Linked DNA regions of Tamandua tetradactyla. The protein of the gene in region 1 interacts with the protein of each later gene in a pairwise test. Links are inferred from orthologs where the notes say so. Each region holds a gene or a part of one and is shown on either strand. Other genes may lie near its edges.

The links.
Region 2: the proteins of CDK6 (region 1) and CDKN2B interact in binary tests that used the Homo sapiens proteins (3 or more experiments, as listed by UniProt). The link is inferred for Tamandua tetradactyla from reciprocal best matches to the Homo sapiens genes CDK6 and CDKN2B.

What each region holds. Positions count from the first base shown.
Region 1 is NC_135327.1:123,417,061-123,425,046, reverse strand, and holds the start of CDK6 (cyclin-dependent kinase 6), read right to left. Parts: upstream 3,016-7,986; 5' UTR 2,871-3,015; intron 347-2,870; exon of another isoform or gene 78-346; 5' UTR 1-77. UniProt on the Homo sapiens protein: Serine/threonine-protein kinase involved in the control of the cell cycle and differentiation; promotes G1/S transition. Phosphorylates pRB/RB1 and NPM1.
Region 2 is NC_135328.1:74,575,488-74,583,035, reverse strand, and holds the start of CDKN2B (cyclin-dependent kinase 4 inhibitor B), read right to left. Parts: upstream 3,017-7,548; 5' UTR 2,527-3,016; coding exon 2,371-2,526; exon of another isoform or gene 86-2,370; coding exon 1-85. UniProt on the Homo sapiens protein: Interacts strongly with CDK4 and CDK6. Potent inhibitor. Potential effector of TGF-beta induced cell cycle arrest.

The DNA.
Region 1 (7,986 bases):
AGCGGAGTCCTCTGCTGAGACAGCGAGGCGATTACATAGTCTCTGCCTGAGCACTTCTCAGTCCAAACTTATTTCACCTAAAAGAGGAGATGGCAGGACAAGAAGAAATTGCAATCAGACATCCCAGGCGCTTTCCTCGGGGTTCCTGCAGACTCCCCCTCCTCCTCCTTCACGAAGCCCCCATCGCTACCCTCCGAGCTCTCCTGCCGTCTCCCAGGTCACTTAATCCTTCCTGGTTCTTCCAAGAAAAGCGAAGTTACTTTTCTGGAATTCCCTGCGGAGCTGGAGCCGTCTACGCGCCGGGAGGTTGCAGGGGCCCCTCGGGGATGAGCGCGCCGCGCGGGACGCAGTGGAACGGGAGGGGGCGTGCCAAGCAGCCCAGAGTGTGCCGGGAGTGCGGGGGAGGGGAGGCGCCGGGTTCGCCAATGTCACGGTTTAATATTTATCCCTATATCATCGTATTGTACTGCTACCCTCCCCGCCTCCGGGGGCCTGGACGTGCAGGAAAAGGCAGTCCTGAGGTGGCGGGGGGCGTTCAGGGGTCATGCACAAGCTGGTGTGAACGGACTGTGGGTCCACCCGTGTGGGGCCGCAGAATGTGGGTGGGGGCTCCCAGGACCCTGTAACCCGATGCTTAAGAGAAGGGGTGGTCAGACATCTGCTCGGAAATTGCTTCCTTTCTTTCTACTTTCAGTTTTTCTATGAGGAGACATTTAAAAACGACTCGCACACACGAATGGTCTTTTGGGGGTAAAGGAGTCTAGCTAGAAACGAATTTTTCTTTCAACTCAGAGGACCTCCGTGGTAGAAATCCAGAAAGGGCAACCCATCAGGTTGGGGAGGGCTTGGGCTCCCGCTACTTGAGGGTGGGCGAGCAAGGGGTCCTGGAAGGGGAAGTCGCTCAGGGGCCGCAAGGGTGGGAGAAAGGGGTTTTCACTACATTTTCGCATGTCGCCTCCTTAAAGAATAACTTCAAGAGAAAGGTGGCATAACCATGACTCGCCCTAAGTTTTCAACTGATTTCAACCACAGTAAAACTCGACTTCCCACCCACCTCCCCCAAAAGTGGGGTGGAAGCGGGCCAGGGTGTTAATGCTGTGTCTGTGGGGATGAGAGGGGTTGCGACCTCCGGGTCGGGATTCGCGGACCTTTCTCCATTTCCAAGACGGTCCCTGAGGTAGGTAGCTGAGGCGGCTGCACCATACGTAACTCCTGGGCTTGAGGCCCGGTCGGGTCTGCAGCCGAACGCCCCCGCACAACAAAGCCCGGGGGAGGGGGCACCCAACCTCCCCTTTCCCTTCAGCTGCAATCCCGGGCGCAGGGTATTCCCTATCCACCACCGCGGTGGCCTCGGTCAAACATTCCAGCCGCGTGTCCTTAATTCCTGGGACACCTCGGAATTACCTGCCTTGCAAACCGCCGGCGGGGAATTTAAGAAACAACAACCCGCGCAACCCCACTAGGTGCATACGGCGCTGACTGCGACCAGGACAGAGCCCCTCACCCTCGCGCCATCCGGAGCTTTCCTTAAAAGGTGAAGACGAATACTGAGGGAGCCGAGGAACGAGCCACCAGAGCCCGTTGGGGCCCTAAGCAAGGGCGAGGGCCACACAGGTAGCGGGGGAGCCGCCACAGGCGGCTCAGCCAATCCCTCCCGCAACCTCCCCCCACCCCCGCAAGTCCAGCGGGAGGCTCAGCAGAAAAGGAAGCGTCCGGGGAGGTTCCACCCCCGCAGGGAACTGCGCCCCTGCCCCCGCCCGGTCCCGCACAGCCCGCAGCAAGCGCTCTGGCTCTGTCCCCCGCGCTCCCCGGGCCGTCGGCTTCTGCGGAGAAAAACGGGAGCAACAGTGCCTTTTCCCCCCCTCTCCTCCTCTTTTTTTTTTTTTTTTTTGTTGTTGTTGTTGCTTTCCCACGCTGGCTGAATGTGACTTGACCCCATTTCAAAAAAGTTTGACATAGTGCTTCAACATTTCCGCATTCCTCTGCGACTACAAAGGCTGCAGCCGCCTCCTTCTGCTTTCTGTCTCTGCTCCCTGTCTTCACACTCAATGAAATCCTTCATGTGCCTCTCCCGAAGCCTGCCAAGTACCCCAAGGGTCGCCACCAGCGCAGCGACAAAAGGGCACACCGGGACCGCGACTCCTGCGTGTGCGCACACGCAGTTGCGCCCACGTGCAGACGGGCGGGTTGCGGGGCCCGAGCGCTGCTCCCATGGGGCTTGCGTTTTAACTTCGATATTTTAAGTTATAAAAGTAAAGTTTGAAACTAAAGCAAACGGCCTGCATGCAGGCTGGCTGCGTTCACTCGTCTAACTGTACACAACACGCCCGCAGGGGTTGCCAGCAGGAAGCCTGCGTTAACATTTATCTCGTGGTGGGGAAGGTGGAACCCATACCCACACCTCCGTGAGCTGGAGAGAGAGCTTCCGTGGGGAAATAAATATGGGGTACCGAAGCATACTCTCCCGCATGGAGTCCTCAGAGGCAGAGCATTCTAAACTTTACTTGTGGGTTATTATGTGAGTGTCGGAGTGGAGTTCGAGTTCCGTTTGGATAAGTTTGTGTCTGTGTGGGTGTTTGTGGAAACGGATGTGCATAGGCACAAGATGTCGGTGTTGGGGGGTATTCCTAGTGTGGGTTGTCCCGCTTTCGCCAGATTAAGAGGAGTTCCTCTAGAGCCCCAAAGCCCCCGTAACCTACCCGGTGTCGGTTCAGAAGGGGTTAACCAAAGCAAGTCCAAGGACACCCAGACCCCCTCCGTCACCCCCACCCCTTCTCTCCCCACCCCGCCTCCGACACTGGCCCAGGCCCGGTAATTCCCCCGGGACCCTCCACCCCGCAGCCCACCCACCCGAGTGCACAGCCCCTCACCTGAGGAGCCTGGCCGCCTCGGGCCTGCGGAGGGACCTGCGTGTGTCAGTCCGACCTCCGCACGTGTCCACGGTTGCGCGGAGCAGGTAACTCGACTTCGGGGAAGGCGTTACCAGCACTTTCTCCGGCGAGGGGGTGGGCACTGCGGCGGAGGGCGGAGGGACCGCGGAGGGCGCCGCCCGCGTCGCTTGCCGGGGGCTGACGGGGGCCGCGCGGCTCCCGCCGGGGCTCGCGACTGGAGCCGGGGAAGTGAGGGGTGGTCGCGCGGCTGGGCGGGGACCTAGGAGGCCGCCCGCGCCGACACCCACGCGGCGGCGAGGCTGGGGGCTCGTGGCGCCGTGGCAAGCAAGTGTGCAAATTAAAGCCTTCCGGAGGGAGGGGAGGTGGCCAAGCCCCGGCTGTGCCCCGAGCCTCTGGGTTCCGCAGCCTTCGGCCCCGAGCGGTAGCGGTGGTAGCGGGGGTGGGGGTGGGCGAAAATTTCCGGCTTTCACAGTAACTGGAGTGGGGGACCCAGCGGCTGAAATTAGAGGCGTGAGAGGGAGAGGGTGGGATGTGTCGTCCGGAGTCACCGGAGTTTCCAAAGCCAGGGTCGCTCAAAGTTGGGGTTTTGACAGGGTGAGGCGGAGATAGCATCAGTTTATGTTGTGGACAAATGGGAAAAACACAAAGCAACCAACAGTAATAATTAGGGGCCGTGGGAGTGGTAAATACTAACACTTTCCAAGAAACTGAAAAATCAGACCAAAAAAATAACTCTTCGTCTCTATTTAAAAAAAAAGTTTGGCAGGACGCCTTGCAGAAAAGAAAATACTAATCTGCCCAAGCACTTTTCACTTTCAGCATGAGCTACATTTGTTTTGTTTTCCTTTGCTTCCTTTCGGCCGCACAAAGCCCTATCTTTTCCTTTTGGACTGAGGATATGGTTTGGACATTGTCAGGCACTCTTGTGGTTAACGATCTACTTGAAGGGGCTGGCTGGTTCACAATTAAGTGGTTAGCAACTGCTGAAGGTTCACTAAGGTATTTCTGAGGAGTTAAAGACTAGAATTTAGTGCAAATAACAGAACTGCAAGATAATAGGCACACACACAAAGAGGGAGAGAACGTGATTCGGTGGGTTCTCAGTTTAAACGCATTATTGGAATTCTGAAATTTGAAACCTTCTAAGAAACGAAGAACGTGTACTTTACCTGCTGAAAACCGTAATACTATTATTTCAGGTGAAAATGAGATTTTTGGGGGGAAAAATTTTCAAGACTTTCTACATGGAGTAAAAGAAAACTTAAAATATAGCTGTTTTTGGGGGAAAATTCATTGTTTTATATTTGTAGAATATTTGAAACTCTCTTAAACATCTTAAAGCAAAGCTTTTTTTTAAAAAAGATATTTCAGTGCTTTGTGGAAAAATTAAAGTCTGCAAAATTATGCTTGAATTGGAAATATTACCTCTATAAATATTCTTTGAGTTTTGGGATTAAACCATGTTACTAATTTCACAGCAGATTACATTTTTTTGCCTTAGTAAAATTGATTCTATACTAGTGTGAAGTAACAGGTTAGGTAAATAAAAGTTGATGTATTTCCATTAGCAAACATTTTTCAATGCTTTATAATAATTTTTTTTCTTAAATAATGAAAATGAAAAATGGCATGTCTTTAAGCTTAAGCAAATTCATAAAGTGCATTTTGTGTTTAGAAGCATACTTCTAAAATAAAATCTAATTTCTGAACAAAATTTGTATTTGTAAAGATCTTTATAATCTCATATACCTTAGAGACTTAAGAAGGCAAATTATTAGATTTTGCATTTATACAAAATGTTGGATCATTTATTAATCACCAGACACAAATGAGAACCCTCCATTTTGGTAATTGCCCATACTTATCATGCCTTTTAAAACAAAATTTACTTGCTGGTAATTAAGACATTTATATAATCCACAAATATTTGTCACAAAATAGTCATAGTAACCAGCATATGATTGCAAAATTGTATTTGAGTAAATAATTTAGTTAGAAAAATAGTTAACTATAAATATCTTTAAAATTAAAAGAAAAGTATCTTTTCTACATTAGGTTGCATTTTTTAAAAATTGAATTTGTCAACAACCACAGTTGGATTGGAAATTCCCTGATTTAGATTACTAGGACACTCAGACATGTAAAAATCAATGAAACTTTATTTATCTAAATACGCTAATATCCAGTGTTGATTTTCTTCCTCTCATCTGCTTTTTCTGATATTACTTATTCATGCTAATTTCTCATTGTTCTCTCTCTCTGGTTATGGTTCACATTAAATCTTAGTTAGTTAAAGCTTTAGACTCAAGGAGGTTTTACAATGGATTGTATAAAATTAGTAACCACCGGATTGTTTTTGTTTATGAATAACTTCCTCTGTGGATAACAGGTTATCATAACAAAATTTGTGCAAAGTTTATAAACTTTGAACCAAATCCTTACTCCCTTGGTTAGGAGTCTTCCATGAATGAATACAGAGCATTCAAGAATAATGATTTGCATTAGTATTTCCATACCACATAACAGATATTCTAAAGTTGCAAATCATTTTACAAGTTTTTAAAACTTAAAATTCATCAGTGTATTTCCAAACATGCTATTGTAGCATACCCTGAAACTTTTTTCAGTGTCAGACAAGGGATGTATTTCATGTGTAAACATTTTTATATCAAATATCTTTACTTTTTTGTTTTTACTGAAATAAAAATAATTTTTAAAATCTGTGGTACATAATTAATAACCTTGTTTGAGAAATTAGTAATTTTAAAAAAATTATTATTTGTATTGGTGTACTTCTAATTCTATAGCATGTCTGATTTATATTGGCTATTTGAATTTATAAAATATATTTTTCAGAAACTTGGGAAATGCAGTTTTGCTATCATCTAATATGCCATAATTTTAATTGGAGGACCAGGTAAATAAATACTTTTTGTCTGTAAAGATCTATTTATTGTTTTGATAAAAACATCTCTGGGTTAATAATTTTGAAATGACTTCCCCTCACTTGAATATGTGTGTCAATATTATCTTTGTTAAATAATTACAATGAAAAACTTTAATTTTTAACATAAATGGTATAATTCTGTTCATTTCAGTGCATTCTTTTTTTGATGAATCTATGGTTCATCTTGGAACCATAGATGTTTCCAAGGTGTTTTTTAAGGTTTTACCTCAAAATATATTGAAAGTTTGCTAAATATCCTAAGACACATCTGTTATCTTATCAACTTTTTCCAATCTTAAAATTCTGAACTCTAAATAATTTTTTTAAATATCTTTATTGACAAATCTTCACATACATACATTCCATACATGGTGTACCATCAGTGGCTCACAATATCATCACCTAGTTGTATATTCATCGCCATAATCATCTAAATGATTTTTAAAGTTGTCTTCTAAATAAATTACTTTCTGATAACTTGGAAATTATCTGGAATTTTTTTTTAAGTTGCATGTGATCTAGTACATTACAGTTAAGCAGTAAAACTTGAAAAGATTTGGATATCTTCTGTGAAGGAAAATAATATATAGGGTAGTAGCTTATAAAATTTAAGGAGAAAAAAACAGACATTATTACCTCTTAGAACATTCCGTTTTCATGGATTCTACTACTCTATAATTATCACTGTGCAACGTGTCACTGCTATGTTCATATTTGTTTGTCGTCATTTTTTCTATTTTTTCCCTCTGATAGGCATCCATACCTTCATTTTCCTTCATGGACATATGTGCGTTTCTTTGTGAATATCTGTATAATCTTGGGTTATGGTCATGATATGTTTGAAACATGTTCTTAATGGCCTTTTGATCATCTATATTAGAATTTTGAATAATCAGGAAAATAATTATGGAAATATAAAAGATGATAATTACATTAAAATATCTACATTCCTTTTCAGTAAACACTGTCCTATAATTTTCACTGGTTTCTAAAATTTCTTTTTTAAGATGATACTTGTATCTTGACTGCCTACTTGGCCTAAGAAGTCTGTTGCCATAGCTACTTTTGGTTGAACTAAAAGGTGTGTACATATTTTACAGAAACCATTCAGATGAAGCAGTGAAGGTACAGCGCAGTCAGGGGGAATGATGATAAGGTGGAATCTGGGAGTTATCAGGAAAGAAAAAGAGAGACACCTTGGGGAGAGGCTTCTGTGAACAAGTAGGGCAAGTGAAGGAAGCACATCTTGAGGCTGTGGGGCCAAGAGGAGCAGCCTTGGTGCTCTAAGTATGGCGTATCCAGGCAACCTGATTCTTTCAGAATGAATTGCATTCTATGTCTGTCCTATTTTGCAATTATGTCTGTCTTAGTAAATGAGCTTATGTAGTACATGTATCCGTATTTGTGCAATTCTGTTTTACGTTGTCCTGTTACGGGTTTTTCCTGAAAATAACATGGAATGGAATTCTTTACAGAATTCTTTCATTGACTAGAAGAAAGTATATAATAGCATAGTTCTGTGGATCAAGCATTTTACTAAAAACTGTAGAGAAGGTCCGATTTTTACTACTATACGTTTGTTCAAAGTTACTCATATCTTCATACCTCTAGTATCTTGTTTGGCAACTGGCAAATATTTTATATTCAATAAATGTTTGTCAACAGAAAGGTTGGCTCTGCATCCCTTAGTACCTCTTGTTTGGACTACTACTTTCTATTTACTTTAGGAATATGTTAGGATAATTTTTTACATATCCCAGAAAAGTATTTTAATAAAATTTAAGAATCAATGATTACTGATTTCAGGACCTCAGAAACATGCCTCCTCTATTTGCAATTCCCTTTCCTCCCCATTTTTAGCCCTCTTCTCTGAATCCTACCATCCTTTCAAGGCCCAGTTCCTTTATAAAACTTTTGAGATGTCCCTCAGCTGGCAGACATCCCTCCTGCACTGAACTCCTTAGGGTCATTCACTTCCTGCCTTATTAGAAGCTTGATGGTCTGTTATACACCCTGATCTGCCTGAGAGCATCAGCTCTGCGTTTTTCCCTTTGGAAATCCTCCAGCACCTGGCCGTTGCCCTCTGGACATTGTTAGTGTTCAATGAATGCAGCAGTGGTTCTAGTCTCCCTCCGGGAGTGTTACTGA
Region 2 (7,548 bases), on another chromosome or scaffold:
TGAGGGTTGTGGGATCGGTACAGTTGGGCTCCGCGCCGTGAAGCAGCAGCAGCTCGGCCACGCGGGCGCTGCCCATCATCATGACCTGCGCGGGAGAGCAGAGCCGTCAGGGCGAAGGCGGGGAGAGGGGTGGGGCGGGTGCAGCGCGACAGGGACTGGGAACTAGTCTTCAGAGGTGGCTGGATTGGGGCCATTTAAACTAAATAGTTGTTTATGAAATCTCCCCCAATGTAGAGGCAAGTACAAGCCTAAGGTGTCTTGTTATTGCCCCCCGCCCACCCTTATGCTTCTTAGTCAATTTAGATTGCATTCCATGTTATTCTCCAAACTTGCGGAAACAGCTAATGACAAAGTGCTTATTGTCCAAAAGGAAAAAGAGAATTTTTAAAAATTTCCACTAGAACATGGAAAGCCATGTTGCTAAATTATTTATGAGTAGGAGTTAAGTTTTAAAGTCTTGTTTTTTCCCTTGATCCCCCTCCTACATAGTCTAGGCCTAAAAATATTAGGCAATTGATATATAGTTTTTAGAAGGTGGGATATTTCTTTAAAAGGAGAAAATAAGAAACAACTAAATTTAAAAAAAGGTTTGTACTGTTAGTTTTCATAGCAAATCCCCTGTGGAATGCCTTTGATTTTCACTGTCATGCATCTGTACTCATCAACGGATTATACTCTGATAATCTGAGCCAAAACTGGAGAGTTGGAGATAGAGGGGGAAAAACAAAATCAAGTTGTGCATAGTCTTATAAAATGAAAATAAATGATTTGTTTTAAATAAATAGGTAACCACTTTTAATGATGCTAATGTTAAAAATAAATGCTGACACGTTTAGTATGTAATATATATTTAATGCAACTTAACCACTGTGTTTACATTGCATAATTTCTGTAGGATTTTATAATGTTAAATAGTAAATATTTTGCTTGGATGGTAACAGTCAAATCTGACAATGCATAATTCAGAAAAAAAATGTTTTGGAGGAGTAATCCTATAGCATCCATTTGTGGACATGTAGGTTATGCAAGCATTTAATTTTAAGCAATTTTTGATAACTAAACATCTAAAATGGAGATGTTTGTTTATGTGCTGTAAAATGTACCATGTAATTGAAAGACAGCAGTCTTCTAGGTTTTTTTTTTTGTTTCATGAATATTAGAAACATCCATTTCCTCTCTTCAAAAGCCATGATATAATTCATCATTTCTATTGGTGATATAAAGGGAATTTTACATAGAGAGAAGAATAGAATAAAGTGATTCCTAGTATCTCAGAAAATGGTGAATTAAAACTATATATAAGAAATCTTGCCTTACAATTAATAAATTTGAAGTCTTTAAGAACCACTCTACAATATTTTTGTTGCCTTTAACCTATCCTTCATTATACCACTTTTCTAAGAATTGCTGTGTATTCAAAAGGAGTACACATATTTTCTTTAAATTCTGGAGGATTAGTAAGATTCCTTAATAATCACTTAGTTCTGGAAGGTAATGGTGAAGTAAATGCTAAATATGAACCATAATTGTTCAACATAAAGCACAAAAGCACTAACTTAGATTTTAAAGAAAATTTAAAATATCAGTACTAATTAAAGTGGAATTTATAAATATCTTTAATAATTGTATTTTAATAATTAAACGGATAATTATTTATGAGGGCACTCTGCCATTTAAAAAGGACCTAATAATTGTTGCTTCTAATCCAAGTTTTTGGTATAATAATTAAGCGAGAAATGTCTGGAAATTTTTATGGATAAAAAAGCGACATTTTTTTCTCATATAATATTCATGAGACTCTGCTAACATGAAATAAATAAATTAAAAGTTGTGGATGAGGAATCCTGTGTCCTTCTTTTGTATTCTATTCGTCTCTATGAGGAAAGGTAAACAGGGTTTAGTATGGCGACTTAAAAGTGAATGGTAAAATTGTTTTTCATGTGCTATGATTTGTAGAGTTCCTTAAATCCTATCCAGACTGTAGAATTTGTACTTTACTTATCTTTATCATTGAAAATAGACAAAACAAAACTGTCCCCCTTTACTAATAACTCCCTTTCCTTTTCCCCTTTCCTTTGCCCCTGAATCTATACCTTCCATCTTTGATCACGAGATGGCAGAGGGACTATTGTGAATATTTTTTCCACTATCAGAAAGAAAACCAAACTGAGGTAGTAGACTTTTCTATCCCTTTCTTTAGAATTTTTGCTGGGTGAAAACTTGCTTTACGCCAGCGTTTCACATTTTTAACAACAGACACAACTGCGCAGTGTCTACATCCGCGGAGATCTCGGTTCTAATCCCGGCGCACGAATACCTTGCCCCGCGCTTGAGCGCCGCCTGCCGGCGAGGCCCGACCGCCCCAAATACCTGGATCGGCCGCCTCCCGTAGCAGTTGACTCCATTGGGATCCGCGCCGGCTTCCAGGAGCTGCCGCACCCTCTCCACTTGCCCCCGCGCCGCTGCGTTTGCCAGGCCCACATCGTCGCTGCCACCACCGAGCATGCCCTTGTCCTCCTGGCGCATTCCGCAGCCCCCAGAAACTGCGCGGCCCGGATAATCCACTGTTGGCCGTGAGCTTCGCAACACTCCTCTTTTTCCCCAACCTACCGCGGAGCGCCTTCCCCTACTGGAGAGCTAAGCTTGGCTTCGACCCCTTCTCGCGTCCTTCTGCTGTTCGGGGTTCTTGCAGTGGCCGAGCGACTGGTATTTTTTAAAATTTTTCCCTGGCGCCCGAGAACCAGCCGATACGGCCGGCCGGCTGTTGGGACGCGGCGCCTGGCGTGGTGGTAGCTGAGCGCAAAGCGGCTTGGGCCGCAGAGTATAGGCACTCCGCAGCGTCTTCACTGCCTAGCGTCGCTCTCAGAGCCGGGAGCCCGTTGGGAATGAATTGCGTTCCCAGCTGGGCCACCGGCCTGACTCTCGCCACCCCCTTAGGCCCCGCCCCCTGCCGGGCTGGCGGGCGTGAACCTGTCCGGCTGTGGTCGCTTGGAGGCCTGGCCGGCAGCCGGTGACGTCACAGCCGACGGGGGTAGGGATGAGGGAGCCCTGGGTCCCGGGGACGCATGCGTCAGAGGCTGGCTTGCCCAGCCGCGTGGAAGGCGGGCCGCGCTGCTGGCTCGCTAGGTGTCCAGCAAAGCCAGAGGCTAAGTTTTTGAAAATGTTGACCCACTGTACTCAGCCTCTAATCTCCAGCAGGTGGAGCAGTGGATTTCTATTCCATACCAGCCCCAAGTCAGTGTGTTTCACTTTGGAGACATTTCCTAGTCTCTCCCTTGTAAAAGGCATTTTAAATAATTTCGTCTAACATGTCTCAAAGTGACAGCTCTGCACCTGTCATATAGGTTAAATTCAACCTCAAGCAGTACTTGCACATCACAGTTTCACATCTTGCATCAATCAGCAATTTTCTTTTAGGTGTGTTTTCATATTTGAATCAGTCAGCCATAAAAACACGAAAAATCCTGAGAATCTTGTTTTGTGTGATCATTTTTTTTCTTTTTAAATTTTCAACTATGGATGCAAGCCTTAGACAAAGAAAGAAAAGAAAAAGGAAAGAAAAATCAGTTTGAGATTGAGGATGGCAACGTGTTACACGAAAGAGTTGAACAAATACATTTTAAAGAATTTATGATCACATATTCATGATATTTGTACTATATCTTTGCACTATTACCTATTTACGCCCATCTTGGCAGGTATTTGATTGTTATTTATCGTGAGTAATAAAGGAAATTTATGCAGTAATAATGAAACAAAATAAAATAGGGTGTGGTGCTTGGCTGTCATTAAACAGGCTGAACCTGTCATTAAATCCTCTTCTGAAGATTTAAAGTCGATGTGCTTTTTTTCCCCTTTACTTTCTTTCTAGGTAAGTTTGAATTAATATATTCCTTGCTTTACAGATTTAAAAAGTACAGTTGATGCTACATGGAAATAGGTGAAGAATCACAGTTATGTGTTTTTTTTTGCCTCAAAACTTTGGTGAAGAACTACACAAGAATGAGTCTCTCCTAACACTAGACAGTTCTTATTATATATATATATAAACATATATATTGGTTTAGAATGCTGAGGAAGATAGAGTTTTAAAGGGAGGCCAATAGTTTGCTTACTCAAGAATGAGAAACTTCAAAACAATGCTTCTTCTAGCATGTTAGCTCTGATCCCTCCTCCTCCAACCCTGTATAGTATAACTAAGAGTTCTTTACAATTTAAAGACAGTGGGGCCCATGAAATGTTGATTATAGCTGAAGATCTACTTACTTTCATCAGGGCTAAAATCCACTTGGATAGGGAAAGGATGGGAGCAGCATTAAAAACATTTTTTTCTCTTTCCACTGTACCCCCATTTCTTAGTTTTCAGGTTCTTTTTTTATTACTCTACTCTTATTTGAGTTCTGTTTTCATCTGGGAAAAAAATGTCCTTTTTTTTGTTGATGGCTACCCCATGCATTGGTCTGGTCAGGGGAATAGAAGTCTGTTTCTTGGTGAAAACCATGGAGAAGCTGTTTTTGTTTTCTCTAAAAGACCAGTTCCTATGCACAGTGTATTGGGGAATCCAGGTGTCTAAGAAGAATAGGAGAAGGGAGAGGAAATATGGGCATTGGGAAGACAGAGCCTTTAAAATGGGCAGTATTGGTTCTTTGCCAGTGATCCTAAGGGACTTCATCTGACCGATGTTGGTGAGTGTGATGGCAAATGAAATTAGTCCAGAATATCTTCATCAGAATGAACTAGCTACTCCGAGACTCAGTGCACAGTGAAAGCAACTATGCATGTTGCTTTTAAAAGGAGTTGTGTTGGGACCTTCCTTCTAATGGAACAAGTAATTGAATTTAGTTCAACAAAACTGAATTTACCATGTCTTATTTTCTAGGAGTCTAAATTGAATAAATTATAGGTGTTAGTTTTCAAGAAACTCTCACTTGTGGCACTCAAATCTAATAAATAGAAAGGCTTAATGTACTGTGATAATTTTACTGAGATGTATTTACAGGGAGCTTTAGGAGTAAGGAAGAGGGGAATTTAACCCAAGTTGGCGAAGCAGGAAAAATTTCTTAGAGCAGATACAACTAAAGAGAGTCTTAAAGGATAAGACAGAAGTTAACTAATTCGTGTGTTATTGCCCTGGCTTTCTTTGAAATTTAACAAAAGGTTTAGGAAAAGACAGTCTGAGCCATTTTCTTAAGTGGTGGGCATAGCCAAAGTTTCTGAAATATAGAAACTACTTAGAGTTGATAAGGAAATGGCAGATAATTTTGTTGTTGTTGCTGTAGTTGTTGAAGGAGGCACAGATAGAATGATGAGTAAGGTAGGGAAAAGCCAACAAGTAGAATGACAGAATTTTCCAGGAAGCAGGGATATGAGCTTCATTGCCTGAGTTGACTGGAAAGGAACGTTGGCCAGGGAGAATGTTGTCAGGGGCGCGTATGGCTACTAGCACCACGGACAGCGCTCCCCTATTAAGCATTTCTGGGTGGTCCTAACCCGCAGGACAGGGAATTCTAGAGAAAGCTTCACACTTATTCTCCAAAGCCCTTTTCTTCCCTGACACTTAAAGGCAGCCATGTGAAGTTCAATGGAACTCTTGTCAAAACCAACCTGCTCAACCTTGTTTCCAAATATTATTGATTAATCTAATATTAAAAAGAAAAGAGGAGGAGTCACACTTGCACTGTATTCTGAGTGCTCTACAGGAACTGTTTCGTTTAACCTCTGTGAGCTATACATTAGTACAGTATCTCAATCTTACGGACAGGGCAAAAGGATAGAGAAGTTAAGTAACTTGCACACTAACTGTCATTATTGGAGGTTGAAGCCTGTGTGGCTTCAGAGCCTCTACTCTTTACATTACATAGTGTCTTTAGCAGCTGTCATGGTAGGCTTAACTGGGAAAAAAGCAATAAACAGACTTGTAATTATTTTTCAGCCTGCACTGTGTTTTCCAGATGGCTCACTGCACAGTACGCCCTTAACAGACTTCAAAGATGACATTTCACATGTAACACAATAGCACATTTGTCTTGGACAATAGAGTGAAATAATGAAATATTTCACCTCTCCCTGAAATCCAGCTGTCTTTAGGATGAAACACAACCTATTGTTAATGCTTCAAACACATTTAGGAGATGAACAAGATGGGAACATAGTGGGCAGCTGAAACTTGGAATTGTTACAGCCATGATTTTTTTAATACGATGGGTAATTTACAAGTGGGGAGAGAAAGAAAATGGGAAAATAGGTGAATTGGCATAGAATTTGGGAGAATAATGAAAAGGAAAGTAGAATTCATTCCAATCTTGTACGTGGGGCAAACCACTATGATAATGATGTTTACATTCCTAGTTGATGAAACTATATATGAACTCACTATACTAGAGTGACTAGAGTAAATTGAATGGTACAGAGGTAATGACATGCCTTTATTTAATTGCTTTTTGCTTATGGTTGGGTCTGAGATTGTTTCTAAATGAGAGAAAGAAAATCAAGATCATGCTTCAGACTTACTCAAAATACGCATGAGCCACCTCCTCCCCAGGAAGCTTGACTCTCTCCATTACATCAGTTGATAATTATTCCTGTAGGATCCATAGTATCTCCCTTTCTCCCTCCCAATATGTTTCTTAAATTTAATTGAATGGTGGACATAATTCATCATTTTAGTATATCCTTTCGTTTTTTCACAGATCACTTTTCACTTTCTCTTAAACAGTTATTAATAATTTATTTATTTAAAAAAGATAGAAAATAAGGTTAAAATACTGAAATTGGTATATATATATATATATATATATATATATATATATATATATATCATATCTCTTCTAATCTATAGATTCTTCTCTTCTTTCTTTTATTTCCTTGCAATTTGTTTGTTGAAGAAACTGGGTTGTTCAATTGTTTCTTGAATTGAAACAATTGTTTGCTGAATACCTCTGAATGATGACATTTAAACTATTTCTTTGCCACCTGTATTGCTTGTAAGTTATTTAGATCTAGCTGGATGTAATTCAGGTTCAATGTTTTTGCAAAAATTCTTCCTAATTGATATTGTGTACTTCCATCAAGAGGCACATAATCCAAATATCTATTTTTGTGATTCTAGCAGTCATCAACAATTATTTCTTAGATCCATTATTTCCTTAGTAACTGCAAAACAGTGATTTTCTAATTTTATCATTCTTTCTTCTTTTGTTAGTTGGACTACTTGTATAAAGTGAAAGTTTTCTTCATTAACTGCTTGGTTGCTGTCCTGGATTGAATCTATTATGTACCCCAGAAAAGCCATGTTTTAATCCTGATCCAGTTTTGTGGGGGCAGCCATTTCCTTTGATCCTGATTCAATACTGTTGGTCAGAAACTTTTGATTAGATTATCCCACAGAGATGTGACATACTCAATTGTGGGTGTGACCTTTGATTAGATGGTGATGTGACTTCACCCATTCCAGGTGGGTCTTGATTAGTTACTAGCATCCTGTCAGAGAGGAAACATTTTGGAGAGAGTCAGAAATAGCAGCTGACAGAAACTTCAGCGCAGAGCTGA